Nothobranchius furzeri: one gene and its partners. The protein of the gene in region 1 binds, or shares a complex with, the protein of each later gene. Links are inferred from orthologs where the notes say so. Each region holds a gene or a part of one and is shown on either strand. Other genes may lie near its edges.

The links.
Region 2: cdk9 (region 1) and eaf2 share a complex: the UniProt entries of both Homo sapiens proteins name them as parts of the super elongation complex. The link is inferred for Nothobranchius furzeri from reciprocal best matches to the Homo sapiens genes CDK9 and EAF2.
Region 3: cdk9 (region 1) and eaf1 share a complex: the UniProt entries of both Homo sapiens proteins name them as parts of the super elongation complex. The link is inferred for Nothobranchius furzeri from reciprocal best matches to the Homo sapiens genes CDK9 and EAF1.

The regions. Positions count from the first base shown.
Region 1 is NC_091742.1:88,947,382-88,958,098, reverse strand, and holds the start of cdk9 (cyclin-dependent kinase 9), read left to right. Parts: upstream 1-5,778; 5' UTR 5,779-5,882; coding exon 5,883-5,923; intron 5,924-6,062; coding exon 6,063-6,176; intron 6,177-6,713; coding exon 6,714-6,795; intron 6,796-8,813; coding exon 8,814-8,904; intron 8,905-8,990; coding exon 8,991-9,157; intron 9,158-9,234; coding exon 9,235-9,406; intron 9,407-9,485; coding exon 9,486-10,000; 3' UTR 10,001-10,717. UniProt on the Homo sapiens protein: Protein kinase involved in the regulation of transcription.
Region 2 is NC_091754.1:31,265,248-31,275,931, forward strand, and holds eaf2 (ELL-associated factor 2), read left to right. Parts: upstream 1-4,489; 5' UTR 4,490-4,572; coding exon 4,573-4,675; intron 4,676-5,134; coding exon 5,135-5,229; intron 5,230-5,790; coding exon 5,791-5,927; intron 5,928-6,203; coding exon 6,204-6,373; intron 6,374-6,464; coding exon 6,465-6,686; intron 6,687-7,856; coding exon 7,857-7,900; 3' UTR 7,901-8,756; downstream 8,757-10,684. UniProt on the Homo sapiens protein: Acts as a transcriptional transactivator of TCEA1 elongation activity. Acts as a transcriptional transactivator of ELL and ELL2 elongation activities. Potent inducer of apoptosis in prostatic and non-prostatic cell lines.
Region 3 is NC_091745.1:66,975,095-66,985,492, reverse strand, and holds eaf1 (ELL-associated factor 1), read left to right. Parts: upstream 1-3,241; 5' UTR 3,242-3,430; coding exon 3,431-3,533; intron 3,534-4,929; coding exon 4,930-5,024; intron 5,025-5,317; coding exon 5,318-5,454; intron 5,455-5,561; coding exon 5,562-5,734; intron 5,735-5,866; coding exon 5,867-6,088; intron 6,089-6,258; coding exon 6,259-6,308; 3' UTR 6,309-8,613; downstream 8,614-10,398. Other genes in the region: tRNA N(3)-methylcytidine methyltransferase METTL6, read right to left, coding at 948-1,102, 1,245-1,386, 1,581-1,751, 2,004-2,138, 2,289-2,585. UniProt on the Homo sapiens protein: Acts as a transcriptional transactivator of ELL and ELL2 elongation activities.

The DNA of each region.
Region 1 (10,717 bases):
AAATCTAACCGGCATGCACTGCCCGCCGATCACCGCTGGTCTAATCTGCACAGAACTGGCTTATCTCGAACACAGCCAATGGCTCGAGTACAGCAAAGCGGAGTTGGTAATGTACTGTGTTGTGTGCCGGAAGTATGTGACAACAAAATTGTGTTTTGTTGAGGAAACAAACAAATTCAAACTTGAATACGTTATTATGTTTGTGAATGTGTACAAAATAAAGGTTTATTACATTTAAAACAGTTCAGTTGTTATTTTGACTCGTTTTGGCAGCTGACCAGCGGGGCCGGTAGATTCTTGGCGGGGCCGGTAGATATTCAGAGTTACCGGCCCGGCTGGCCGGTTGGTTTTGAAGTTAATGTCCACCCCTGCATGAAGTTCTTGCATCCTGGTTGTATTTGTACTCCCGGTGACAGTACTTTCCCCTTGTTCAGGTCCACATCCTGCTCACGGGATTCTTTTTCTGACCACATATTATGGCTTCTATAAAGCATTATTTTACCAGCAGTTTTTCACGACTGAAGCAACTCTTATATGAGCAAAAGAAAAACATGAGAAATGATTAATTAATATTAATAGTAAATCGGAAATAAATGTTTATTTTCTGTTTTTACTTTTTCAAACCTTTTAGCTATTTGTGTTTTCATCACATTCAATTCAATCCAAGTTTATTTGTATAGCGCCAAATCACGACAAGAGTCGTCTCAAGGTGCTTCACATAATAGCTTGTGTTTTATTTATAATATCTTCCATCTTTATTGCCTAAGCAGAGAGGTGTGTCTAAATCGGAGCACATTGTTTATCTAAATTATTAGAACTGTGTAAACAGTCTAAACTTTGTAAAACTGTGTCGCTAATCGAGTGTTTATATTACTGACTAGGGATGTAAGAAAATATCGATATGACAATATATCATGATTTTTTTTTCAGTGATAGTACTTAGATCTTCAAAAGCTGTGTATTTAATTTTTGGAAGAATTTATATGCAAACATTTGTATGTTTTCTTTTCTTTTGGTGCAATTCAAATGCCGACCACTAGTTGGCAGCAGCGTGCAATGAGTTTTGCTTCCACCATTGAAATGTAAATCCCTCTATTATGGTTCAGATGCCTCATGTTAAACATGTTACGTATCTTTTTGGACTGTTTATTGAATTTTACTACTATAAATTCAGTCTTAAAATCTCGCTAATATTGTCTAACTGAATGTGTCGTAATATATCATGGTATAGTGTATCGTCTCCCCGAATCATGATACGTATCGTATTGCCACACATCCCTATTACTGACAGTTGTGAACGTGTGCACATTATAACTGACTTGTTGAAAGTTGCTCTATTGTTTTAGTGCCACCTATGATTGACTGATTAGTGTTTTTTGTTAGCCTCAAGGGCAACCTGCTGGCTTCATTATAACTTGTAAGTTGCTTTGGACAAAAGCGTCTGCTAAATACATAAACATAGTTTCGAAAAGCACACTTTATCAAAGAGCTCACTCACATCGACACCACGTGGGCTGTTTACAGCAGTGTTTGCAGAGCCCCGTCCCCCTAGTTCAGCAGCTGCAGGGGAATCTGATAGGAATGTTTGCTTGTAAACAAAATGCAACTCCTATTCCAGATTATTCTTCACCTCAAATAAAGTAAATACTGTGTGGTACTTATCTACGTCATGGATGACTTCCAGATAGCAGAAAATGAACCTCTAAAAGCAGATCAAGGTTTTGAGTTACGTTGAGGGGACAGCAGATTTATACTGCTATACCAGCTGTAGACTGACTACATTGTGTCAAAGTGTCATATCTTCAATGTTGTCCCATGAAAAGGTTTAGTTAAATATTTACAAAAATTCAAAGGGTGTACTCACTTTTGTGACATACTGTATATATAATATATATATATATAAATATTATATATATATATATATATAAATATATATATATATATATATATAATATATATATATATAATATATATATATTATATATTATATATATATATATATATATAATATATATATATAATATATATAATATATATATATATATATAATATATATATAAATATATATTATATATATATATATATTATATATAAATAACATCTTACAAGGTAAACTGGTTCCATTGTCCATTTGTGATGTTTACTGTATATCCCTTGACCTCAAATTGCAAAAAAAAAAACTCAACATACAAATTACATTAGCAATCTTGTTATTCATTCATCAATTATATTTGGATTCTTCACTCTATTAACTTTGCTATGTATTTGGCCACCTATCACAACCTGGGAAATATGCAGTCCAAAAAATATCTTGTATTACATTTAATTCCTCTGTTGAAGGCATGCTGGTGTAGAGAATTGGAGGGTTTAATTATGACCAATAAGATGTGGTGATTCTATATAAATTTGGAATATCAACCTGATTGATCTTTGAATGTTTAACCAGAAGAATTTAGGATTCTTTGCTTATTCCGGGACCATAAACACACTTCGTATTAATTCAGAAAGAGTCAAGTACATAATTAAAATAAACTTTATTTTCTAGACTAATTATAATACATGACAAGCAATGAATAATGAAATGAGATGGAATGTGATGTATATCAGAACCTTTGTACCTGGAACAACTTGTGAGGTCTGGGTTTAAAAGAATTTTGGTCTGCTATAAACTAGAGAGTTGATTATTAATAAAACAACATCAGACACAATCTGTTGTGTCTACGAACCCTGATGGAGACCCCCGTTCAGATCTGGAATGTCAGGAAGTCTGGTGGACCTCAAGGCACCGAAGTTCGTAGAATAACCGCAGAACGACCAGATCAGTCTTGAGTTGTCTCCAGGTCACAACAGACATGAAGGTTGGTTGCGTCTAAGACGGATGGACTCTTAAGGAGTCGTGCGGCTGTGTCAGCTTTGCAGCGTGCAAACAGGTTTTGACTGGATGTTCAGTTCAGTTCTTTTTTTTTTCAAACATTTCACACGTATCATTACAAAATATAATTTCATTATTTGTTTGAAAAGGAGTAGGAAGAAGTATTATTTGTCCCTACCCCCAAGTTTTACCTCTTATTCATTTAATTTTCTTTCAGTCTTAAATTAAACAAACAACATATGAAAAAAATATATTAAAAAAATAAACAAAACAACATATGGTAAACAGAGAATGTGTAAGTTTGCAGATTCACCAGTTATGGAGAAAAAAAGAAAAACCAAACAAACCAAAAAACACCGAAAAAGAAGCACAACAGTATAATGAACTTATATAGATTATATAAGTATCCTGGATATTTATACATGATATAAGCTTCATATGCTAATTTGCTTGATCATTCTCAGGATCCAACAAAGCTGATAGCAAACAGCGTTATATGCTAGTACGTAGATTATCCATGCTACACCTGTGTTAGCTGGATAGAAAATAGTCTCCTACACCTATCTCCTGTGTTAGCTTCTGATAGAAAATAGACAATGAAACGCTCCTGGGTGGATACATCATCTGTCTGTCTCTGCTTTCCATGGAGGATGTAAAATATATTTGTAAATTTGAATTCATGATAACTAGGTTTCTGCTGTAAGGAGTAGGCAGGTGCCTGGTGTATTGCAAAATTCAGAAGCCGACATGCAGCGTTATGTTAAATGCACTGGGTTTTACCCTATTACATTTACATTTCATGGTTAAACAGTACATGTTAAAATCTAAGCTCAGCTCGGCAGTGACCTAAAATACATAAATATAATTTTACTTACTGAAAAAAATGAAGTGGAGACTCCTTGGACGCTCTATTAGTGCAATTAATGCCACAGCAAGTCATTTTGTCCAACAATTGCACAAAAAATATCCAAAACAGAAAAAACAAACAGAGACTCAAGATGCCGGAACAGTTTCCAGGCCAGACCGAGGCTCTACTGAGGCCTTTCCATGGAGCTAGCTCTGTGGTCACGTGGGTCTGATGCTCATTAATTATACAGAATTTTAGGCTTTTAACACACTTAAACAGAAGAGTGAGAAAAAAATTCACCCCCCTCAGAGTTGTCATGAGTGTAAACTAGATCATTTAAACCAAAAACATGTTTTGGTACCAGGCTGTAAACATGTTTATTTCTGCTATGAAATTGGTATTTTTAACATGGGAGTCAATGAGGATTTGCTCGCTTCTGACACCAGCCCCTAGTGGATGACGGTGGAACTGCAATTTTTGGTACTTCCGGTAGTCTGGGGATCAAATCCCACCCGGGCCCTCGTTTCTCCACCTTGCCACATTTAGAAAACTAGAAGTAAATACAAATAAAGACACTGGATATACGCTTTACGTTAGCATCCACCATCAGCGTCTCCTGGCTAGGACCTTCTGTCACATGACTGCAACTCTACTCGGCTTTCACACATACGTTTTGGAAAGACATCAGCAGTTTTGTTAATAAATTCTTGTTCGTTAACACCTAAATGTCGTCGTCGTCGTCTTCCTCCGCTTATCCGGGTCCGGGTCGCGGGGGCAGCATCCCAACTAGGGAGCTCCAGGCCGTCCTCTCCCCGGCCTTGTCCACCAGCTCCTCCGGCAGGACCCCAAGGCGTTCCCAGACCAGATTGGAGATGTAACCTCTCCAACGTGTCCTGGGTCGACCCGGGGACCTTCTGCCGGCAGGACATGCCCGAAACACCTCCCCGGGGAGGCGTCCAGGAGGCATCCTGACCAGATGCCCAAACCACCTCAACTGACTCCTTTCGATCCGGAGGAGCAGCGGTTCTACTCCGAGTCCCTCCCGAATGTCCGAGCTCCTCACCCTATCTCTAAGGCTGAGCCCGGCCACCCTACGGAGGAAACTCATTTCGGCCGCTTGTATCCGCGATCTCGTTCTTTTGGTCATTACCCAAAGCTCATGACCATAGGTGAGGATTGGGACGTAGATCGACCGGTAAATCGAGAGCCTGGCTTTCTGGCTCAGCTCCCTCTTCCCCACGACAGATCGGCTCAGCGTCCGCATCACTGCAGACGCCAAACCAATCCGCCTGTCGATCTCCCGATCCCTCCTACCCTCACTCGTGAACAAGACCCCCGAGATACTTAAACTCCTCCACTTGAGGTAGGACCTCTCCCCCGACCCGGAGTTGGCAAGCCACCCTTTCCCGGTCGAGAACCATGGTCTCAGATTTGGAGAATCAACCTAAATGTTTTCTTTATAATTCTAATTTGTTAATAAAACACCATATTATCTTTGTTTTGTAAAAAATGTGAAACTGCATAAAACCAACATCAGACTGACAAAAAATAGAACAGTTCTTACATGTGAAGCCATATCTGTTTGTATTAATGGGGACTTCGTCTGTATATTTCCTTAGTTGTTATCTAAATACATTCTTTGACTCAAAATATTTCTTGGTGTCTTTCAGTAAACTTCTTATATTTTATTTTGCCCTATTTCATCAACATCAAGAACTTTTGAGGGTCACCGTTTATCATTTGCTTATATTTTACATTTCCTTTAGAAATTCAAACATATTTTCTCCAAAAAGTGTTGATTTTTGGACTACAGGACTACAACCGCTAAGACTACGACCGCAAATTTGTTCTGACCAATTAAAATCAAACGTGATAACGTAACTTCCGTAAGCTTCATGTTCAGCCAATCAACTACTTTGACGTCATCGGCAGTCGAAGGACCCCGAGCCGGTTCTGCACCCGAGCAGATCCTGTACCGACACCGGGGCCTGTTTATTCGGGTGGAAAAAGTTGATTTGGGGGTGAGTTTTGGGTTTTGAACGTGTCCTTGGGGGACTTGTAGTTACATCTGCTGTCCAGTTGGTGGCAGAATATCCTCTGTGGTTTGTTTCCAACCCTCCATTAAACAGAAGAAGAAGAAGAAAGGCGAACGTCAACGCAGTCATGCAGCGGGAGAAAGCTAGCAGCGCTGGCGCGGCTGAAAAGTAAGATTTCCAACTACGAATTCGCTCATTTGTTATATATGTTTTATATTTAAGTTTTTGGGTATGTCTGTGTGGTGTGTCTTGGTTTTTCTGTCTATAAGTTTCCTGATATTCAGTCTAACCTCTTTGTCCCCACCAGGCCGGACCGCGAGGCCGCCATAATGTCCAAATATTACGACGGAGTGGAGTTTCCTTTCTGCGACGAGTTCTCCAAGTACGAGAAACTGGCCAAGATAGGACAGGGAACCTTCGGGTGAGACAGACGTGTTTGAGACGTTTCATTGTGCGGTAAAGTGAACGGGTCTGTGTTTGTGCTAGCGGTGCTAGCTGATGTAGCATCGGCCATGTTCTGGCTGTGTTGTGCACACAGAGGAGGGCTAGCTCTGTTTCAGGGTCTTTAGTTGCAGCAGGGACGGAAACTCAGTAAAGATCCAAAGAAAAACCATGATGGACCGTCAGGAAGACCTAATTCGGGGTGCCAACTGGCACTGGCGGGCCGGTATAAAGCATGTTTTAGCGGTTTCTCTGCTCCAACACGCTTTAGTGGTTAAATCACTGTACAGCAGCTCATCAGGCTCTGCAGAAGCCTGTTAATCACCCGCTGATTAAAATCAGGTGTGGTTAAAACTAAAACATGGGTACCCCTGCCTTAAGGGGTTACAGGTAACTGGATCAAGACTGTTACTGATCCTGATTTCTAATGTTTACTCTGAAATTAGGGTTTGCGCTTGTCAATAACATTTAAGTCCTTGTTCTAAAACAGGATAAACGTGTGTTTGTGTCTTTTCAGGGAGGTGTTCAAAGCCAAGCACCGGCAGACGCAGAAGAAGGTTGCTCTGAAGAAAGTCCTGATGGAAAATGAAAAGGAAGGGGTGAGAGACGAGAACCTGGTAGCTCATTTAGAGATGTTGAAAGACTTTACGTCAGTTATGATCTGAAGTGTGAAGCTGGCAATCATATGGGTCTGAACAGCTGGATGTTCCTGGGCCTCAGAGGCTCGAACTAGAGCTGATTTCTTCATCACCACCGGCTCTCACAGCATCCGCGTCCAAACCCGCCTCTCCATGTTAGCTACCTCAGTTGAACTCTCCATCTTCTAGCAGGTTAATGTGGTGCCCACAGTTTTGTCCTCAGTCGCTCGCCTTGCTGAGATTAGCATTGGGACCCGTGGGATACCAGTCCCATTGCAGGGCTCTAATTGGATCCCCACTCGAGTGCGCTAAAGCTTAGAACAAGTGAACAGGGTTTAACGTCCACCACAGTGGACCCACGTGGTCGGTATTGGTTGTGTTGTGTCTGGGCAGTACCTGATACTGGTACGGTCATGGGTGCATCCCTGATCCACGTCCCAGAGTGGCCCCTGCTCTCCTGCAGCCTGAAGAGAGCCTGAAACAAGACAGATCTGAGTTTCTGTTGCTGCTTGTTGTGGTTAAAATCACAGCTGAGATCAAATCAAAGATACTTTATTAATCCCAGAGGGAAATTAGAGTTTCAGTACACACAATTCAGAGATCAGACACACATGGGCAAGACACATGACAAGAATTGGTGACTGTGGTCATTCGCAACCCTGAGTCGCGCTACCTTAATAGAGATAAGAGGGTTACATGAGGATTGGTTCAGGTGGAGGGAAAAAAGGCACTTCAGAGCTACCCTCCACAGGGAGGGCAGCTTTGCTCTGCAAAAAAACACCTCAGACATATAAGCATGAACATCAACAGTCCACAACATGAGACTCCCAATAGGAAGGCGGGGTGGGGCTGGGATCCTTCTTCCCCCAGCGAGAGCAGCCATCAGATGGGCCATTCCCATCTGTACCGGGTCAGCCTGGGCCAGGTAGCCCCAGTCGGCCCCAGCCTGGCCCGGTTGATTCCACACACCCTTTCCTTAAGCCCATGTGGGCTGATTCTACCCACCAATCAGAGGCTTGCTCTAATGGAAGGTGTGAATTTGCTGTCAGCAGTGGGTGTGTTGGCCCTGGTCGGCCTGAAGCAGACCCCCTCGAGAAGAGGGCTGAGAATGAGCCTTGGTTGGCCCGGAAAAATACCAGGCCACCCAGATATGTAAACAACCTACGCTACCCGGCCCGGGCCGACCCGGTACAGATGGGAATGGCCCATAAGGCGCTCATCTACTGTACAGTCACAGGTGGGAGGGAGATCTTGGGAGGCGTGAAGAGCACATTGACTCCTCCAGCTGATGACCTCGCCAGGCTGAAGTCCACCAATTGGGGGGGGGGGGGGGGGGGGTTCACAGCATCTAAAGTTAAAGTCCCATTAGTTGTCACACACACAGGTGTGTGTGCGAAATTTATTCTCCGCATTTGACCCATCCCCTGCGGGAGCGGTGAGCTGCAGACAAGCCGCGCTCTGGAACTATTTGGTGGTTTAACCCCCCAATCCAACCCCTATGCTGAGTGTCAAGCAGGGAGGCATTGGGTCCCATTTTTTCAAAGTCTTTGGTATGACCCGTCCAGGAATCGAACCCCTGACCTCCCAATCATTTTGACTCTGGTGAAGCTGAAGAACACGTTAGAACTTCTCACTGGTTTGAAGGTGGTGGGGTGAATGCTGGAGAGCTCTTATCTGAGTTCAGGATAGAAATATGTGGTGCAGACATGACAGGAGTCTTTCACTGAGGCTCCTTCATTCAGTCTGGAGAACTTCAACAGCTGGGTAGATGTATTGATCACCACTGATGATCAGCTGTGTGAAGGTGGAGAACCATTTTCATGCACAGATGGAGACATGAGAGGGACGACACCGCTGTCTTAGATTACAGCTCACTTTGGTTAAAGTAATATGAACATAAACAAATGACCCGAGTCGTCTCATTAATATCACCGCGTGGACCGCATCTCCAGCATCGCTCAGTCTTCGTTTCGTTTCAGTTCCCCATCACAGCTCTGAGGGAGATCAAGATCCTGCAGCTGCTGAAACACGAGAACGTGGTGAACCTGATTGAGATCTGCAGAACCAAAGGTTAGTGGCTTCAGGCCGGATCTTCAGCTGCAGGAACCATCTGCTGCTGGAGCTGAAGGTGACACCCAGTGTTTTTGTTGTTGCAGCGACCCAGTTCAACCGGTACAAAGGCAGCATCTACCTGGTGTTCGACTTCTGCGAGCACGACCTGGCCGGGCTGCTGAGCAACGCTAATGTGAAATTCACGCTGGCAGAGATCAAGAAGGTGATGCAGATGCTGCTGAACGGGCTGTACTACATCCACAGGAACAAGGTGAGACCGATCAGAAGCAGAACATTAAAGACCCGGTCTCAAGTGGGCCCGGTCCTAAATCGTGTGTTCTGGTTCAGATTCTGCACCGAGACATGAAGGCCGCCAACGTGCTCATCACCAGAGACGGCGTCCTGAAGCTGGCGGACTTTGGCTTGGCTCGGGCCTTCAGCCTGGCTAAGAACAGTCAGGGGAACCGCTACACCAACCGGGTCGTCACGCTCTGGTACCGACCTCCGGAGCTGCTGCTGGGTATGAGCCTCTCTGGACTTCTGAAGGAACGTTCTGTAACAAAGAACCCTCTAACAGAACCTGGCTCTGTGTCCTTCAGGTGAGCGGGACTACGGACCCCCCATAGACCTGTGGGGAGCGGGTTGCATCATGGCGGAGATGTGGACCAGGAGTCCCATCATGCAGGGGAACACCGAGCAGCACCAGCTGACTCTCATCAGCCAGCTGTGCGGCTCCATCACAGCTGAGGTCTGGCCCACTGTGGACAAGAAGTATGAGCTGTACCAGAAGATGGAGCTGCCCAAAGGCCAGAAGAGGAAGGTGAAGGACCGCCTGAAGGCCTACGTTAAAGACGCGTGTGCTCTGGACCTCATCGACAAACTCCTGGTTCTGGACCCATCGCAGCGTATCGACAGCGACGACGCGCTCAACCATGACTTCTTCTGGTGTGACCCGATGCCATCGGACCTGAAGAACATGCTGTCCACTCACAACACCTCCATGTTTGAGTATCTGGCTCCGCCCAGACGGAGAGGCCATATGCCCCAGCAGCAGCCCAACCAGAACCGGAACCCGGCCACCACCAGCCAGACTGAGTTCGACCGAGTGTTCTAGTGCGGTACCGGCAAATGGGCCAACAGAACTTTTGTTTCCCCGGCGGGGAGAACATTCCCGTTTCCTGCTTTAGGCGTCCCGCTGGGCTCGCTGCTCGGTCTCGTTTGAGTGATGACCGTTCTGGTTCTACAGGAACAGCTTACTCTGACTGCACGTGGTTCTGACCCAAACTTTAGTTTTAAGTTTTTTTTGTGTTTGAATCAAAAACACAAATAAAAACCTTTTTTCTTCTTTGAATGAATCACGTGTTCCAGGACTAAATGGAGCCGGGACCTGCAGCAGGTTGGTGTCTTCGTCTCCATGGCAACAGATGTTCTAGTACCTTGAGTGGAGCAGCACTTCTCTATTGATGAGATAAAACGGACTGGTCTGCTGGTTCCTCAGACTGCAGCGGACTCGTCTGACCACCAGGTGTCAGCACCTGCCCTGAACATGGCGTCAGGATCACACACCCCGAGTCATTAACCTTTTTTACTTGAAATCAGGCAACATTTTAGTTGTCTGGTAGAAATAGTCTAATTATATAAATATGAGAGATCTGTTCGACATCTAAACTTTGCTTTTACGCATTTTCTTTTTTGCTTTTGTTTTACTTGCATTTTACATTTTTAAAATCTGTTAAGTGTTTCTGTTTGAATTTCGTGTATTTTATGTTTATTCACATTTTTATTGTAGAGCCTGTGAAACTGATTTCCCCTGAAACATTCTGATAATAAA
Region 2 (10,684 bases), on another chromosome or scaffold:
AGGCTGTCCCCATCTCTGCCAGTCTTTAAGAGTCGCCTAAAAACCCACCTCCTCCGCTTGGCGTTTCCTGAATGTGTTTGAATTTGGCCCTCTTTTATGTTGATTTAATTTCCCTGTTTTCATTGGTTCACTCTATCCCTTGTTTTACCCATTAGTATTCTACTAGAATGTTTTACCTTTTGTTGTAATTTGTAATTTAATTGCTTTTATTTTCGATTTATTCACCATATTTATTTAACTTTCTCTTGTACCATGTTCAGCGCCTTGAGCTTCCCGATAGGGCTGCGGAAGGCGCTACATAAATAAAGCTATGATTGATTGATTGATTGATTGATTGATGATTATTGATTGATTGATTGATTGATTGATTGATTGATTGATTGATTGATTGATTGATGATTGATTGATTGGTTGGTTGATTGATTGATTGATTGATTGATTGATTGATTGATTGATTGATTGATTGATTGATTGATTGATTGATTGATTGATTGATTGATTGATTGATTGATTGATCGATCGATTTCTATCTTGTAATTTCCATTTTGTATTTTGTAATTTGTATTTTGTAATTTGAATTTCTTTTATTGTTGATTTATTCAATATATTTACATACATCTGTACAATGTTCAGCGCTTTGGGCTTCCTGACAGGGTTGCGGAAGGCGCTTTATAAATAAAGCTTTGATTGAAATAAAGCTTTGATTGATTGATTGATTGATTGATTGATTGATTGATTGATTGATTGATTGATTGATTGATTGATTGATTGATTGATTGATTGATTGATTGATTGACTGATAAACAAATAACAGAATGACAAAGTTAACATAAAAGCTTAAGTAGTTATAATTATTTGCTAATGCTAAAAGCCACAAAGTGGCCCCAGAGCTACAGTTTGCAGACCCATGCCATGCCACAGCTCGTTATTTTTCACACCTTAACTTTGGCAAGTGAATTTAGCACAGGACAAGACCAGACTTGTTCCTGATTGGCTCAGATGAAAAAGTCCATTCACCCCCCTCTATGACCCCTCCAGACTCACATCAGGATGTCAGCTCTGGGCCTCCTCTCACAGCTGCTGGAGCCTCTTCTCGTCACCGTGACCAAATATACTGAAAAGGCTGATTCTTTATTTAAACATTTGTACATGCACTTGTTGCAGTTTGATCTCCATATAAAATATTCATATGAAAGTTCATCTTAGAGATCATAAAACAAGTAAGTCTCAATGGAAATTTGGTATTAAAAGTTTTGCACTAGTTCTAATAGAAACATCTCCATCTCCAGGATTATTGCATTCATTTAGATTGTATTTATGTTCTTCAGGACTCGTGAGCTACAGTATGAATGCAGCCAACCCCAGAGCAGATGCAACAAAAACATGAAAATAAACCTCATAACTCTTAAGGTTTACTGGAATTTTTTTTTAATGAAGCTGAGTTTTCGTGACTGCACTTTCAAAGTATCTGGCGCATTATGGGGCTAAAGGAGTGGCGTGACATTTTGGAGCAACTTTTAAACACTTACTTAGAATATTGTGACTAAATCAGGGGTGTCAAACTCATTTTAGCTCAGGGGCCACATTGAGGGAAATCTAGACCAAAGTTGGCCGGACCGGTAAATTAAAAAAAACTTCAGATTGTTTTCTTTGTTTTAATACAATCAATATAAAACAAAGCTGGAGCCTGAGGACAGGGTATCCAAAATAGTACGACACCTGAAGTGTACTTGAAAATTTGAAAAAATAAAAATAAAAATCAATCAATTAAAAAAACATTCCTTAGTGATTCAAAGAGCTTACAGATCACATGGCTAGATCAGTTTCATGCAGCACTTAAAATATATTTGACTCATTTTACTTTACATCTTTTAGCTTTCACCAGCACATCAACATCAGAAGTCACATCCTGAGTGGCAGCCGACTTCAGGATGTGATTCAAGTTCTTGTGTGAGCCTTGAGCGCAGCTTTGTTTTATTTATACTCATTACAGAGAAAACTTGCTCACAAAGATAAGTTTATTTTCACTCTACATTGTAAAGTATGAAAATAAAGTTTACACAACCATCTCGCGGGCCGGATCCGGCCCGCGGGCCGTGTATTTGACACCCCTGGACTAAATACTTGGAAATAAGGGGAACAAGCGAATCTAGGTTTTGTATATCATAGAAACATTAAATTTTTGCTTCCCAACATACTCTGGTTAAGGACTCAACAAACAAGATAAGGTATCTGCAGGTCTAAATACAAAATAATGTGCTGGCAGGTGGGTTTGTTGTCCCTGGACACATCTGGCTGGTGCATGTTGATATTCGTGGTACATGTTGTAGTAACTGGAACGCACTGACAAATAGTATGTAATAAATTTGCATCAGATGGTTTGATGGGAATTTAAATTATCCAAGTTAAATAAACAAAAATGAGACTATTCCAGAGAGTAATTGTGAAAATGGCTTCCATTATTACTGATTTCATCCAGGTTGGTAGAGCCTGCTCAGGCTCCGCCTCTCCCAGCAGACAGGTGCTATCCTCAGATTCAATAGGAATCCTCTGCTGTGACTGGAGGATTTAGTTGCTCAAAAACCGTAAACCTCACCTCCTGCAGTCCAGGGGCAACCCCTAAAGTAACTGATATCACCAAAGGACAGTCAGTGTTTACCTCCATCCATGGAAACAGACCCATGCTGTTGTCTTTTCACACGGGATTCAGGATGAAACAGGAATCCGGTCTTTTTATAATTTGTCTTGGTCCATTTTCAAAGCTCGTCAAATTTAAAGGGTTCCCATCACAAAAGACTGTCCCTCCTCGGTAACCGGATAACAATAAATATGAGCCATGACGATTGCCCAAACAATCCTGTTTTCCATTATATGAGGGCTGCATTCTGCATCTTTAGGCAGAGCTGACAATTAGTGAGTCGACATGGACGTGGACATATGCACTATTTCCTCATGTGGACCATGACACGAGACAACTGTTGTGATCAGCTGGTGATCACACACTTGTGTTAAAGCCTGACTCTCCACTTGTTAGATGCTGACCTGCTAACTAAGGCAAGAGAACATATGGTCTCAGTAAATTTCAGGCAGAGTGAAGGATTTAAGGCTTAGGATTCATTAGCAGTTTAAAGAAAGGAAAAGAGATTATTTTAACAGCCACAAGGTTCATGGAGCTCAGAGCTTCTCAGAGCCAGAGAGGCTCAAATCTGCGATCAGTAAGTGTTTCTGCTGCAGCTCATTACAATCAGAGCTGCAGGATGTCCACATGCTGTGTCTGAGGCGCTCTGCCCAGTGAGGCTGGTAATTTGGTTCAGATAGAGGAGCCGATGTTTGTTAAGGACACTAATATTACAACAGAACAGGATCAGCAATTATTATGAGAGTCAACCCCATTCAAGATGGCCCCTCAAAGCTAACAGCTATAACCCAAAATCATATGATCTCAGCACTGAGGGCATTTGCCCAAAGAACAAAGGTCTTTATTTTTATAATTTACAAGGAATAGTTCCCCATAGTTTTTTGAGGGGAAAGTTCAAATCTCTTCTTCAGATGCAGATGGCATTTTTTTATTTCCTGCATTGTTGATCAATAATATTAATGTCAGAACTTTGGTGCCTAATAGTAGCTGGAGTGTAGTCTCAGTCATGCAGGACGTGGTCATAATGGAGGATGTGATGATTATTTGATACATGTCAATTCTTCTTCTAATGGCTTTTTAATTCAGATTTTGGATTATAATAACTTTTCAGGTGAGTTGATGTTTATTTTATTTCATGTAACACTGAACTTTGTACCAGTTTATTAAAATACAGCTTTTTGTTTAATTACATTTATGTTTTTTCATCCACAATATCCTCAGTGAACAATATTGTGCTTGTTCTGCAATATAATGTTCACTTTTTCCACTTTTGCTATTTCTCACTCATAATATTACAAGAGCAAAGACTTGCAACCCTGATAAAACTTGTCTAACAACACAACTATAGATAAAAAACTAGCTAAACACCTGAAATAAGGACCAAAAAAAGCTTCACTTGAAATTGCTATTGTTGTGTCAAATTACATAGTGTATTCATTTTTTATATAATTCATTTTGGAGCACATCTCCAAACCTTAAACTTGTTTTTTTTTTAATGATTATTATTTTTTACTTCAGGTGAGGTCATGGCCCTAACTTTGGGAAACACATAAAACATGAGCGTCATTCCAAAATAAACAAAAATAAACAAACCAAAAACTATGTGTTGTCTCTTATTTACCTCAAATGATAAATAAAACAGAAATTTTTTTTCAGGAAATTATGAATTAAAAGTTTTAATAGCTGTGGGTATTTACATAAGTTATTGTCCACATTTTAAAAATTGTCACCTTTTCACTGTAGCTGCCCAATCAATACAAGTGCTTAACTGACAGGTCTTCATCCAACCAGAAAAGCGCAAAAATCTTGTCACCCAATAATAATTAGGAGACTTTACTAATGGGCGGGACTTAAACGTTTCTTCTGCCAGCATTACCTGCGTTTGGCATCAAAAACACGGAGGAAACTTTTGTATACGGTTCGTGTTAGTCAGAATGAATGGGACAACTTTCTCCAACTTTGACAACCAGGAACATGTCCTGAAATTGGGAGAGACGTTCGAGAAACACCCCAAAAGCTCTTACCACACAGTGCGATGTAAGTGTTTTTTTATTCGTCGGTGACGTCTGGCTTTTCACTGTAGCTAACAGACGCATGCTAGTTAGCATTAAAGCTAAACATGCTGAGATTACCGTTTGCCATCCGGCATACAGTTCTATCGCCGCGCTCGATTATATTTCTCAGTGTGCTCCTTCAGTGTTCTGCTAAATTGTCGGCTTTTATTGTGGAACTGTCAGTTTACGTGAATAATAAAAGCCATTGTTGCCATTAACCGTGAAAGTGCCAGCTAACGTGTTAGCGCAGCAGCGTTAGGTAGGAATTTAGCACCACCTTGTGGCTGGAAGAATGAACTGTATCGCCAAAACATGTATTGTCTAGTAAAATGTAAGTAAGTAAGTAAAAGTTTATTTATATAGCGCCTTTCACAGATATAAATCACAAAGCGCTGTGTTTCATGTTTCACTCGAGACCTTTTTCTACCTTTATCTGTGACAGATGACTTCAAACCAGCATCGATTGATACAGCATGTGAAGGAGAACTTGAAGTTGGCAAAGGAGACCAAGTCAAAATTACTTTACCAAATTTAGAGGTTAGTAAAATAAAACAAAAACCTTAGAATTTCTGTCTCTTTATTCAAGACAGAACAATTACAATGATTAATATATTTTACCGTTTTCCTTCAAAATACATTTTTATTTATTTCAAATTGTTTTTATTACACTCTCAATTAAGGGCTGGGCGATATGGCTTAAAATCAAAATCACGATATATTAAGGATTTCACCTCGATAACGATAAATGGACGATAACTACATGTATGCACAGAAACAAAAGTTGTCCACTAGATGGGGCTGTCACATGTATTGAGTCATATTTTTACATGACTCAAGGTGGTGCAGCTTAAAGGGACATGAACGTCGCCAACCCACACACATTTTTTCATTTTTTTAAATTAGCAAATTTATTGACATGGGAAAAATTCTCGTTAACAGTCAGAAATTTTGATAACGATAACTTTTCGATTTATTGCCCAGCCCTACTTACAATAAATTACAACTATCTTTAGCACCTTTTCCTTCCAAGAGTTAAACTTTAATATTTTTAATAAAAACAGACACGTATAATTTAATATTTTGGTTTTCCTTTTTAAGGGTTCAAGTGCTCCTGTTACAGTCTTCAGTGGATCTAAGAGGCCTTACATGAAAGAATGCATCCTCATTGTGAACCACGATACAGGAGAGTACAGACTAGAAAAACTCAATAGCAACATAGCCGTGAAGAAGACCAGGTGAGATAAAAAGGCTTCCTTATTTTTTAAAGCATTCACTATTATGATTAGTGATTTAATGCAAACCAATGTGTTGATTTTTTTTTTTTAGAAAAGCTTTTCTTTTAGCTGTTGAAATTAGATTTGATCCCTTCTAAATTCTTAACCAAGAAAGATTTGCACAGAATTGGCAAAACACTTAATTGTTTTAAGTGTATTTAACCCAAAGTAATGAGTAGAATTTTTAATTAGAAATGTTCTTTATATATATTTCCCCTCTTTTATGTGACATTCCAGGGCTGAGGGCAGCAGTAAAATCCACTCTCGTCTAGAGCAGCAAACCAGTCGCCTGAGTCAGCAAATGAAGAGCAACAGCAGCGGCACGAGCAAAACCTCATCCAGCTCCAAGAGCTCTCCCCCCAAAGAGAAAGCCTCTTCACCTTCACCGATGGATGACATAGAGAGAGGTGACACAGCTTTGTTTGTGTTCATTAAGGCTGTACGTCTTGGTTGTGGTTGTGCTCCATCAATATGCTTATTTCTGTGTGTCTGGAGCAGAGTTGATGGCAGAGGCGCAGGTCATGGATCAGCTCAGCAGTGGCGACAGCTCATCAGAGTCCAACAGCTCGTCCTCCAGCAGTGACGACAGTTCAAGCAGCAGCGATTCAGAAGAGGAGCAGACTCCTGCAGCGCCCTCGGCCAATCAGAGCATGCCTATCATCAACACCAGCTCCACCAGTCGCCTCCAAGAGAGCGGGGGAGGACTCATGAACACACTCAGTGAGTAACCTCGGTGACCCTGCAGCTTTTGCCCACATATGTGACTGAACCAGTTCTTTTTTTAAACACTAAGTTGTTGTGGTTGTGCATTATTCTTGCAGACACACATGGATTTACTAAGTGAAGGGATTACAATGATCTGCCGTATCTCCTGTGTTTTAATCACGGCCTTTTTTCAAACTTTAATGTATGCTAAATACATTTTACAGTTGAGTGTCTTATAGAAAGAACTGTAGATGTTTTACTGTTGTCAGGAGGTGAAGATTTCAGAAAGGTTGCACACGTCAGGGAAATTTCCCAACACCTGCTGGAATTTCAGAGTCTGAGGCTGAACCACAACAAAACCCTGCTGCTGTTATTATAGCTGGAGGTTAAACTGCCATTAGGGCTGTCGCAACAGCTGTTATGACCCTTCATCTCTTGACTAATTTAATTATCAGTCAACTCTTCAGGATTTTCTGTCAAAATAGAAAAATAGTTATTTTTGTTTTTCTTTTATTTTGAAGTCATTTGTTCACCACAAACAGGAAATGTCCTTGTTGGGGTTAGGGCTCTCCTGTTGGAAGATAAAATAGGACTCATGAGTATATTGTAATATATAAATTCTATATTTTATATGTGGTTTTGATTGTAAATGAACATAGTTGTTAACATCTATACAATTAAATGTGCTTAAACTCAGAGGTTTATTACACACACTTTAATAACGGACTACGGTGTGTTAGGGTTATGGTTGGTTTGGTACTCTGTGATTTATTGACAGCTGTGTCTGGCCCAGATTGTTTCTTCGTCTTCAGACTTTGTGGGGAAGATTCTTAACTTTTTTATTCTGTCATGAAACCTTTTCTGCCACAATGTGGACAACTCGGATACTCTCTTCATGGCAGTTAACCAACGCCTTCTGTATATTTTATCAGCTGGAAACCTGTAACTTTGACATTACTGTCCTTTCGTCTGTTTGTGCAGCCCGCGGCGCTGCATGTGTTAACCAAGCTGACAGATTTTAGTTAACCAATTATTGACAACTGACAGATAACACTGTTGAACCTTCTTCTGACCCTCCAGTCTGAGGCTGGGAGGCTCGTACTCTTGATGTCACGTGTCAAGGGATTTATAGCTACCACCATGACAGTGTGCAGTCTTAACACTTCTTCAAATATCTCCTTGCAGAGAATGACCTCCAGCTGAGTGAATCAGGAAGTGAAAGTGACTGAAGAATCAGGATGAAGGCCAATGTGAGGAAGACTGGATGAAGGAGCTTGTCACAAACCTGTTCACCAGGATTGGTCTTACTCATCCACTCATCTGAGTTTTGTCTTTCCACCAACAAATCTCTGTAGTTTTCTGGCTCTGCTCATGCTGTAGTGATTCCTGCCTCTGGAGTTAGAAATGCATCTCCTCTAATGGCGGTGCTTTAAACCCACCAGAGGCAGGACAGCTGTCATTAGAGTCTAGACTCTTATGCTTCTGCTTTTCACGTTTACATTATTGAGCTTTCATTTTGAAGTTTCTGCTAGCCTTTTTTGTTTTATTTTGTAGCACTAAGCAGCAGAAATTAAAAAAATATATATAATTTCACAAAATATCCCTTTAAACCATCAAACTTGACTTGTGAAGAATGCATATTTATTAATTTATCTCTTGGTCTTTACCATTTCCAAACAATACTTCATTTTTTTTTTGTGAGAGTCGGTAAAATATTTTGAACTTAAGTCTACTTGCCACATATCAGAGAACATCGTCTTAAAAATCAAATATGGTGTTTGCTACAGTACTAAATGTTCATCAGAAAGCCAAAGCAAGATGGTGAAATGATTAATAAAAGCAGTCGACTGTAGCGGGAGAGACAGCTTTTATTCTGCGAACCTGCACTCATGGACTCTAATAGGGTCTTGCTTTGTAGCTTTAAACCTGTTATACTTGAACTTAATTATGTATCCTTCTACACACATTTGGCCAGTAACTAACTGGTTCTGTGTTTAGCTCCATATGGAAGCAACTGGAAGCCAGATGTGTTCTTACTGCATCAGAGTGAGTCTTAAAGAACTGGAAATGCCTCTTTAGTTTGTCTCAGGAAGTCAACTGCAGGCCTTCCTCTCTTGGTGTCTTTTCCATAAGTGTCTTTTGTCCTCTGACCTGTCTCATCAAACGGGAAGCTGCGGTTTCTGTCCCAGCAGTGCTCTGACACCGACTGTATAAACCCAGAGACGGGGGTCCAAAAAGCCTTAATTAAAACACCTGTTGGTCTTAAGAAAATGAACACTTATTTGTTAAATATTTGAGAAGATTTTTGTCAAATATTAAAGATTTTAATTGTTTCTTGAACCTACCCGTTTGTGTCATAAATGTTCTGATGCAACTCATGTTGTGTAGCACAAATACAAGTTGCTCATTTATCTCACTATTTGCATCGCCAAGCACTCGACGCTGACATAAACATGCTGCAGCCTGGAGTAATTAGCCCTCATCATCTGATCATGCTGGACAAACTGAAGGCAGACTGGGTGAGCTCTCTCTTTATATATATATCTATATATATATCTATATATATATATATATATAATATATATATATATATATAATGTATATCGATGGGTGAGCTGCAGGTCTTACTGGATAAAGAACAAAGTCACTTCCAAAATTCAAATCAACGTTGCATCAATCAAGGACTAATATTTTGGCGTCTTAATCAGTCCCTTTTTCTCTGTAGGAATAATCCTTTGTAACTATAAAAAAATAAACATGACCTCGCACACACTGTTCCTGTCCACCTGGCCTGAGGGACGGATTCTGGCAACAATCAGACTCACTAGAATGCATGATATTTTAGTCTTTGTGAGTCAGTTCAGCAGACGTGTAATATGGTTTCTTTTTCTGCCAACTCCTAGGAGAAGGTGGTGTATTCGAAACGGCTCGGCTCTTTGGGAATCAGCCACAGCAGATATTCACACAAACATAGGTGGCGCTCCCCCTATCATATTTAAAAGTGGGCAGACTGCACAGGCACCGTTAGGGAGGAGCAGATGTTGAGACCAATGTTTTGAATTGTTGTGTAGGGTGTGCTGTCACCAGGTAAATGTCAGCTGTAATGCTCCTTACTTCATTATGATGTAACGAGCCCTTTGCAGTATGCTGCTGAACAGGTGTCTGCAGGTCAAAACATTTTATTTTCAACCACATTCAAGTTTGAATAAAGTCAGCTCTAGATACCAGACAGGTCGATGGCTTAACAGGGTTTGGTTGGAGGCTGGAATCACAAACCTTTCAGGACATATGAAACAAAAACATGCGGATGACGTCATGGCTGGTTAAAAAGCTTAACTTTCTGCTGCAGCGAACTGTTCCTGAAAAAAGGTTGAGATGCTAGTTAGTTTCTTTATTCGTGTTTCCCAAAGACAATTGCCTTCATTCTTCCACACCATCATTAAGATAATAAAGTTTAAGTCCCATTAGTCATCATCACTCACTGGTGAAATTACATCTGTGCATTTGAGCCCTCCCTGACCTGTAGGGAGCAATGAGCTGCAGCAGTGGCAGCGCTCGGGAACTGTGGTAGATGCAGACACACAAATCAATATGAACATAAAAACATCAAAAGCAAATGAAATCAAAACACTCTTCAGAAGTTTCATAAAAACCCACCACGATCCTCAACTGAACCGCGTGTCATAGATATGACGTCACGGAACATATAAAGGGATCCTGATATTACAACTTTTTTTCTATGGAGCATTCTTTTGTTTTGGTTTTCAGTTTATCTTCCAAACGCGTGGCTTTGAATAACCATAGCAGCACATTTCTCTGTTTAGTTATCAGCTGCATGAAGACGTTTAAAGAGCAAGTCACCCCCAAATCAACTTTTTTTTGCTGATAAACTAAATAAATGAATGTCTAGTCGTGCTGCAGACACGTGTAGTCAATAATTTGGCACTTCAGTGCATCTTAGTTAAAATTTAAATATTCTGCTTAAAACTGTCAGTGTTGGGCCGTTGTCAGGT
Region 3 (10,398 bases), on another chromosome or scaffold:
AACCAGAGCTGGACTTGGCACCTTGACTCAACACAACCAGCATGTTAAACAATGGAACATAAAACAGTTTCAGGGTTTTTTAGCTAAATAATAAAAGGGAAAGACCCTCAGAACCATTTCCCTGTTGCCAACACCATAGCATTTCACTTTGAAAGTGTGTGGGGAAAGGGTTTCTGAAGTGCTGTAAACATGCATGCATCAGCATCCGTATGAACTGCAAAACACCTGTTACAGTGAACAACATGCAGACACGCCCACCACGCTTAGACTCCAGTGTCAGGAATGTGCAGATGAGAAGAGCGTTCACTCTTGTCTTTTCCTGGAGCCACCATAAATGGATATTTCAGGAAAGATCCCTGGTCTCATTGCGCTCCAACCACATGTGATTAAGGCTTATATTGACATCTGCAAGCAGCAATTTGAGCTCCTGAAATGTGATTTTATCCACTTTTTTTAATCTTTTAAAAACCTTACACGTCTGTTTTTACCTGTGGTGCCACTTCCACTTTTGGCAGAGAAATTGGTTTTAACAGACTTTTATCCTTGAACATTTGGCTCTCCTCTTCCTTCATGATGCACAACACTGGTTTTAAACAATTTAAACATCTTCTGGGGCAGGAGGCACCTGTTTGGGATCTACTCAACAGACAGGGCACCCGTGCCCTGCCATGTCCACAACCCCCACTGTCCACCACGTGCCCCTGAAAAATAAATGCTTCCCCTCAACTCAACATCAGAGCTGAATAAGCTCAGAATTTATTTACAGAGTAAATGTTACACAGCTTATAAATATTTTGTAAGAAAAGTGAACACTTTCTTTTAAAATGTCCCCAAACCCCTTGTGGTCCTATGATGGCTTCCCATCATACAGAACTTGTACATTTTTCCATCCAGTCCAAACCTGACATGTCAGTCTTCCCTTAGAGATTTGTGAGTTAACAGTGACATCAGGAGCTCTGTGGATGTGCAGGTCTGATGAATTTGCTCTGAAGGAAAACCCTCGGAACACACAGTCCTTCCTTCTTGTTTACCGTCTCTCTCAGAACGTACTCGTTGGACACAAGGTCAAAGCCCGCCTCCAGAAACAGCTTAGCCAGAAACTCTGAAAAGTTGAAAACAGCAAGATTCCAGGAGGAGGAAAAAAAAAACAAATTCATATATAATCAATTCAATAATTTTAAATGTGCAACATGTCCCCTCTTTCACTTGAGACTGAGTTGACTGAACAGAAATACTCTGCTGACCTTTGGAGAAGAAGTAGGACCTTGTTCCATCCTGGCGAACGTAGAAGTTCTCCCCAAGCTTGTTTCCAGATTTAAACCGGAGCATGGCGTGGTCGTACATGCCATAGTCCCTGAACAAGACAACACCACCGGGCTTCAGCACCTTAAAGCCACATGTAGATTGTTACATCGCTGAATGCCAGTTTTGTGCAGGTTTGCATAAAAAGTGATTTGTACTCAAAAAAATAGACTGCAGTAACCATGTTTGACCACAGGATGTCACTCTTACTTACTGCACCTTTAAGTTCCACCTGAATTGAGTGAATTGTGCGTGGTGGTCTCAGCTCTTAACTCTACCTTGCTGATGTTCTCCAAAACCAGCTTCATCTTGTCGGGATGGATGGCCGACAGGACAAAGATGAGCGTGACAACATCGACGCTGCCTTCTGGGACATTTTCCATCAGATCATCTCTTGTTAAGTCACACTGGAAAGCACAACAGCGCTCAGTGCAGTAAAGAGGGTTTTCCTGATTAATAAAAACAAATAACAAAACAAATGTTTACATCTTTAAATGCTGTTTTTTTCCCATTTGGTTACTCTTAGCCCTTGAAATCTCCTGTTAAGGCAGCTGAACCGGGTTTTACCACAAATGGCATCAAAGGCAGCTACACTGCAGCAAAGCTTTTTTTCATTTTTATTTTTAACTTCTAGAGCACTAAGATTAACTAGACGTGCTAGAAAAGGTGGATTTCCACAAGTACACAGTTAAGCACCTTACTTTGACAAAATCAACTGCCCGAGGAGAAAAGTCACAGGCATAAACAAAGATGTTGAGGTCATCCTCCAGAAGGGGGAAGATGCAGTTCCCAACCCCGCATCCAGCTTCCAGCAGAATCAGTTTCTGGGACTCGAACTGCAAAGAGACAGACCACGTGACCCAAAATCATCACTTTGTTGTCCGTTTGGCCTCAAATCACTGTGAAACGTTGATATTCTTTACATAAACTAAGTTCATTCTACACTACATATGCTAAGTTTAATCAAACACCCCTTATCCGCTCACCTCCCGACAGGCTTTAAGCTCCTCAAACTCTCTGGTGGTCCAGTGTCTGTCTTTAAAGAAATTCGTGGTGTTTCTTTTATAAAACAAGTCCCAATTTTTCTGCGCTTCTTTCTCCAGCTTAATTTGTTTGAAATCAGATACCAGCGTCCGCTCACTGCTCAGTCTGTCCCGTTCCTCTGGAGTTAAATCTCTGACAGAGCAAAGTTTTGTTTCTCGTCCCCGTGACTCCACCTTTGTTTCGGGTTCCACTTCTTCAATGTCTTCAACTTTGCACTTTTCATTTGTCATTAACGCCATTGTTGTGTTAGATTGCCGTTCTCTCTGATAGTTTGTTTATAAAATAAAGCTTTATATAAGCTTCAATAGGAAGAAAAAGGAGGTAATATTTTTCCACACTTGGCATCCATCTTGTGCAGCATCGATGACACCGGTACCGGTTGGTGTTATTAAAAAAAATACCACGGTGGTCAACGCTTTAAAACACAAAATTTATACAAAATATAATATAAATTTTGACTGTACAATTTTATTGTTTAAATAAGTTACAAATATTTTTAACAGCTCTGAAATCACTTACACCCAGTCTGGTTTTCCGTCGGTGGTATTTGATGCTCGGACCAAAGGCAGTGTTACGCCGAGATATGTTTCCTCACAACAACAGTTTCTCCTCCTATTTTAAGCGAGTTTCCCCTTTAACTTTGTTGTTTAAACCAATTATCTGATAATAAAATAACTAAACTGAAAACTTTTGATAGTTTAATTAAAACATTAGTCATCACAGCATGGCAAAAACGTACGGAAAATATTACTTTTTAAAATTATTTAATCTGTGTTCGGTAAAAATAAATTCATACTTAAGTCAAATACTAATAACTGAATAATTGTTCAATGAGGTAAACATATTTATTTTCCAAGAATTCAGAACGGAAAACCCGCACACTGATATACGAGTAAACCGTTTTTCACTTAACACCGAAAAAGCTGCAGTCGCGTGACGTAAGTGTTGTTTTGCTAAAGGTTAGCATCTGCAAGCTAACTTTATCTTTATTTAGATTATCATCTCCGGTAGTTGCTGGATATAGCTCTGTTTTTCGGTTGTAACACAAATGTAAAATTTAATCCGGTTTCAACCAGACGAAGTCATGAACGGAAACACAAATCCACTGCTGGACAAAGAGGAACATGTTCTGAAGCTCGGAGAGAGCTTCGAGAAAAGGCCAAAATCATCTTTTCACACCATCAGATGTGAGTGTGAAAGAGACCACTTTGTGTTTCTAAAAGCTTTTAGTAAAGTCAGCTGTTGGTTGGAAGTAATTAGCTCACAGTGATACAGCTATTACATTCATTACGGTTACAGAAGTACACAATAAATGAGAAAATTTGATTTACATGTATGAACTGCAAAACACCGAACTGAAAGAAATTGCTGAACAGAAATGTGTTTATTATGTAAAAAATAGAAAGTTAAATTGTGGGGTTTAATGTTTTTTTTTTAAGTCCTTGGTTATTATCAATTATTAACTGATCATCATTCAACTTTTACTTAATTTTGCTTTGTTTATTTAAACATTTCCTAAGCCAAGTAGACAGTGTGACCAATAATTAATAAATGCACATTTCACCCAAATACCAGCAGCACATTATTTAAATATTTCCCGGTTTGTAAATTAATGTCATATTAGCAGAGTCAAGCAAAGTTATAATTTAAAACATATAAGGGTGATTAGCTAAGTTTGAATCTCTTTCATTTTTAGAAACTAAATAATTAATAATAATAAGGGATGCACCAATATGAATTTTTTGGGCCGGTACCGAGATTAGTATCACTGTTATGGCCGATAACCAATATTGGCCAATACCGTTTTATGCATCTGAAATCAGCAGATTTTGAATAGACTGAAATTATGCAAGTTGAATTTTGGAATGTTTTGCTTTATTTCTATGAAGTTGAATTTGCATTATGTTATACACACACACACACACACACACACACACACACACACACGTACGCTTCTGGTAAATGGTAAATGGCCTGTATTTGATATAGCGCCGTCTAGAGTCCTGGAACCCCCCAAGGTGCTTTACAACACAACCAGTCATTCACCCATTCACACACACATTCACACACTGGTGGGGATGAGCTACGATGTAGCCACAGCTGCTCTGGGGCGCACTGACAGAGGCGAGGCTGCTGAGCACTGGCGCCACCGGTCCTTCCGACCACCACCAGCAGATAACATGGGTCTTGCCCAAGGACACAACGACAGCAACAGACTGAGCGGGGCTCGAACCTGCAACCTTCCGATTACAGGGCGAGCACTTAACTCCTGTGCCACCGTCGCCAGATGATTACCATCACGGTCACATGTCTCAACAATTACACATCATAACTGCCCCTTACCCTCTGAAACATACACAAACGGAAATAAGATGGAAAAAATATCAGTTCTTAAAATCGGCCCAGTTTTAATTGTCGGACTGGTATGTTAAAAATGTACTAACATCGGCCAATACTCGATATTGATGCAGATATATCATACATCTCTAATAATTATATAATTTACTTCTTTTTCTATTTATTTAAGTTTTTCTAAGCAGTGAAAGGACTTGATTCATGCCTAATTTATTTATTTATTCTTAGATGACTTCAAACCAGCATCGATCGACACGAGCTGTGAGGGAGAGCTACAAGTTGGGAAAGGAGATGAAGTTACCATAACACTACCTCATATTCCAGTAAGGTTGCAGAGACGTAAACAACAAAGCACCATTCTCACATTTGTGTCAGCTGGCTCACAGTTATGGTTATTCAACATTATTAATGTTATTAAGTGTCAATCAAGTGCTTTCCCTCTGCTAACAAAGTCAGATAGCAGCTTAGGTTGAGTAATCATAGTTGATTATGTTTAAATGTAGTTTCAGTTTCATCTAGTTACATCAGGAACCAATAAAATAAACAAGTAAAAGCCCCTTTGTATGATTTTATTAAGAAAAATCAAAGGATCAAGTAAAGTTACATACTCTTCCAGGGCTCCACGCCTCCAATGACGGTATTTAAAGGAAACAAGCGGTTGTATCAGAAGGATTGTGTGCTCATCATTAACCACGACACGGGGGAATTTGTCCTGGAGAAGCTCAGCAGCAGCATCCAGGTCAAGAAAACAAGGTGGGAGAATTGTATATTACTTTTTCACACTTGATAAATCATTCATTCTAAAGTGGGGAGCAGAAAGGAGCAACAGTTGGTGAGTCTGCCGTGTTTATTTTTTATAGGGCGGAGGGCAGCAGTAAGATCCAGGCCCGAATCGAGCAGCAGTCCGTCCGTTCCTCCCAGACAAGCTCTCAGTTCCGAGCCCCGACCAAACCAGGGGCCGGGAACAAAACCTCACCCTCCCACACGAAGGACAACCCGTCCCCAGAGCCTCAGCTGGATGACATCAAACGAGGTGAGAAGGTTCTGTCACAAGATGGAACTGGTGTGTCTCAAACTGATTCTAGCTAAAATATCAGCTGGATATTGTAACTGGTGTGAAATGAACCCAGAACCAATAATGTCTCTGACCTGCTGCCGCTGGCAGAGCTGCGGGCGGAGGTGGAGGTGATCGAGCAGATGAGCAGCAGCGGCAGCAGCTCGTCCGATTCAGCCAGCGGCTCGGGGAGCGGCGACGACAGCAGCAGTAGCGATGGTGAGCACGACGCCCCCCCGCAACCGCTCAGCCAGACCTCCCCCAGCTGCACCCCCATCACCAACGGCGGAGGAGACCGGCAGCAGGGCAACAACCAGCTCATGAACACACTCCGTGAGTAGCTCTGCGTAAACGCTGATTCTCCTGTTTCTGTTTTTAAATCTCTGCATTTATCAGTTAGTGCCTTCACATTTTTATGTGTTATTACAGGATTTCCTCAGATGATACATTCCAGACGAGTTAGTTTACTCACTTAGATTATTACTTTTCTTTTTCCTCCACAGGAAGCGATCTTCAGCTCAGCGAGTCGGGCAGCGATAGTGATGACGACTGAAGTCGCTCTCCTCCTCCACACTCCTCCTCCTCCTCGCTTCCTGGTTCTTGCGTTCACTTGCTGTGATTTTTGACCTCAGCTTTAAGTTTCTGGTTTGACTGTATTTTTTTAACATTTTATTTTATTATAGCCACCCAGAAACCTTAGGATAGCATTTTATTAGATGTGCATTTTGTTTTGTATAGGAAAAAACAGAGTTTTACTTTAGGATGTAGAAGATTATAAAGAGTGTTCAGACATATTTTAAGTACTTATAAAAAACACTAGTTTTATCTGCATAATTGATCTATTTTTCTCCTTTTTTATGATGAGGCTAGTATGAAAAAGCTTTTTCCCTGTAGTGGAAGTCTTCTCTCCATGCGTATTAGTGTTTTATTAGTTGGATGAAAAAACAGCAAAAAAACAGAAAAATCAGCAAAACTCTGCAACAAGTAACAATTTTAAAAAATGCACTTTTTTCCTCCCAAGTCTTAACAGAGAAGGTGCCGATTATTGTGGATGGATTATTTCATTCATTCCCAAAACATTTCCTTATAACTAATTTGATAATGTATATTTTTATTAGTCTTTGGGAATGTCCGACGTTGCTTTAGGTTCTGAAACAACACGTCAAAATTCAACTCATGCTGGTTAAAATTTTGTTGAAATGGAATAATTAAACAATAAATGTCTTGCAGTTATTTTTCCGGCCACAAGGGGGCAGCAAAAGACCCCGAACCACAAATGTGTTTTTACTTTTTCTGGTGACCTTCTAATTTCAGCTTTAATTTGGTTTCTAAAAACATTTTAGGAAGATAGTTCTTATTTGATTGAAACATCAAAAAATACAAATAAACCCTAAAATAATGCACAATTTTTTAGAGATGAATTCAAAACTACGGGTTCAGAAAAGCTAAAATGTTTTGTTGAATTCTTTTAATTAACCACATCAGAGGTCAGATAACAAGCAGTTACCATGGAGACAAGAAATGATGACAAATCAGGGTTTCTGATGAGAAAGAAAACAAATGTAGTTAGTTTCAGACAAGTTTTTTTTCCCTTTTTAACAAATATTCCATCATTTCTGATTCTGAATGAAACCACTCCGTATTACATTTTAATGCCTTGCAGCGTTTCAGTGAAGACATGAGGGTGAATGTATTAGTTCAGAAATAAGCCAAAGAGTTGATCTCATGTAAAAGATATGCAGGAGTTCATATGTAATGGTGTTGAATGGTTGTGTTTCTGCGTTTGTTTGTTTTTTTTTTGTTTTGTTTTTTGTTAACCGCACCAGTGACATCAGCGCCTTTTCCTTTAATCTGCAGATTTTATGATATAAGTAAACATAATAATAACAATAACAATAATAATACTGACCGTTTGAGGTTAAAACAAAATTAAATTTGTTAAAAACATTAAAAAACTAGTTGTTGCTAAATGCTGACCACTGGAACTTGGTGGCAGATTTAGATCAAATATAACTGGATGCAGCTGCTGGTTTTTAGTGCCATTTGATCTGGTTTTGTAGAATTCTGCCTTCCTACGCAAATGGTTTTAATGACTTTGGCTCATTTAAAAAAAAAGCGAGCTGCAGAAATCATCACTCAAGAGGTTTTTTTCTAAGCAGATGTTTGGATTTGAACAAAGTCCTTCCCTTCCACTGATGGTGATGTTCTGGCTGAGCTGTGTTGAGTGTTAATGTCTGTGAAAATGGTGTTAAATGATGTTGTTGGTATAAATATTAACACATTAAGAATGGCGGCCCCACGCTTTCTTTTCTGTATTCTTATTAATCACATAAATCCCAGTTTTGTTGTGAATGGTGCTGATGCTACAGGACGGTTACTGCTAGAGAAGACAATAGATCATTTAAATTTTTCTTTTATTCATTTTGAAAAGTTGTGATTCATAAATCTGCCCATTGTTGATGTGTTAAACACAATAGTGTCAAAGAATAGAAATATAACACTTTCTTTAGGGTGAGAAACTTTATTTTTTTGGACATAAAAATCAGTTATTTTGATTTGTTCCTCTCATTTGTCCTTGTGGTGACTCGCTAAGCAATCAAAGCAAAAACTGCACCAACTACTGGAAATTTAGTCTAAACGAGTACTTTTACTGTTCTAAAATCTCAGAATTGTGAACTGGACTTTAAACATCTTCAGCCTGTTTTTACTTCTATTATAAGTGGAAGAATGAACATCCAGACGGTGCTCTGCAACACCATTTTGTTGTGTTTTTTTTTTTTTACTTCAAAGCTTGTTTTTGTGACACCTATTCTGTACAAAGCTGAAGTTATTAAAATCTTGCAGAAGTCACAAAAAAAGTTTTAAACTTTTTTTAGTTTTTTTTTCTGCTTTTCAAATAAGGTGTGGCTCTAGAATGATAGTAATTTTTTGCATTATTGATTAGAAAACTGATAATGTATTTTGGAGACTAGGTGGTTTTGCTTGCTTTTAGCACCCCCTAGTGTCCGTTTAGTAGAACCAAAATAGAAACTTACCTCCTCGGCAGGCGTTCGTCTTTTTTAACATCTTAATCTAACAGCTGAAATGTCTCGTCAGCCTTCATTAGTGTATACAGAAGTGATTCATAACTAAATGAAACAAATCAGCTGTGTTCGTGATCTAAAACACACTGGAGACTTGCTGGAAGCAGACTGCAGTCCCAGGTTTGTCCGCTCCATTTTTTTCTAAGCCAGTCACAAACCAGAGCTCGTCGAGATCTTTCTCTTCCACCCAGCTACAAGTTGGAACCATCCACTCACAAAAATAACCCTAACCATAATCGCCCTGTCACCAAAAATGTATGTTTAGAATAAATATAATTTATGAAATTACTGTGTAACACGATTCTTATGCTTGTTTTATGGTTATGGTTAGGACGCACATTTTTACAAGGCGTTCAAACTCGCACCTGGGTGGAAAAGAAACAGATCTCGACAGGGGAACTCATTTTGACACAACACTGGCCACTGTGAAGTTGCAAATGCGGTATTCTGGCCACAGAGGGCGGTAGGGGTCTGAGTGAGATTTCATTACCCTGTAAGGGGTCATTTTAGCACATACTGGCTCAGGAAAACAATTTAAAAACATGAAAAACTTGCACAGTCTCCCCTTAAACAGTATTTCCTTTTATGAATCTTTTCTTTGCAAGTTTCTTTAATTATTTTCAGTGAGCCTACGAATCCAACCTTCTGCACTTAAAAAACCGAGAGAGCGGTCAAAATGAACTCAGAAAAGATTATATGGCTGGTCTTTAAATAATTGTTTTCAAGTGAAACATTTGTTTACAAGAACACCTTCAGTTCTGTATCATCGCCAACAACCTGTACATTGAGCAATAATACATTACAGTATTTATTTTTACCTGCTTTGTTGCAACAACAGAGTCACATTTGGGCATTTCTCTTCAAACAGTAACACAAAAACTACGCAACAAAAACATAAATAGCTTTTTGTTTCCCTTTAAATCATTTATAACAATTATAGTCATGATCCTGGCTCCTGCTACAACACGTCAATGAAGGATATATAAATTAACAACAGCAACAAATAATAATTAGAGCAATAATAATATAAAAGCTGTCCTGTCTCTCATATAAATCTGATTAGCTTATGAAATGATGGAATAGAGAACAACCAGGCTGTTAAATGCATCAGAAGGTTTCCCCATTACGTAATCTTAAACCTAGATGCCCGTTTTCCCATTTTTGTGACTTGAAGAGAAATCCGAGCACCATTTTGGCTCCAATACGAGTCCTCAGGCTCCAGCTTTCTTCTGAAGATTCACTGTAACATGTCGAATGTTCCTCAGTTGTGCAAGAAGTTAAAACTCCAGGTGAGATTCCAGTTCTTCCTCAAGACGTAAATTAGCACCCTCTTGTGGTGAAACTGCTTTAATCACAGCATTTGGCATCACAGGAGACGATCGGTCTCCCATCGGTCCTCTACTCCAGCTTGTTCTGACACGTTCCTCTGACCCTGAGTACCTCGGTGTGTCTGATCTGTAGACTCGAGACCCTTTAGCATCTTTAATACTTCTCAGTTACTTTGGCCCCCTTCTTTGGACCCTACAGACGACCCTCCCTAACCTAGCCCCCTTCCCGCCT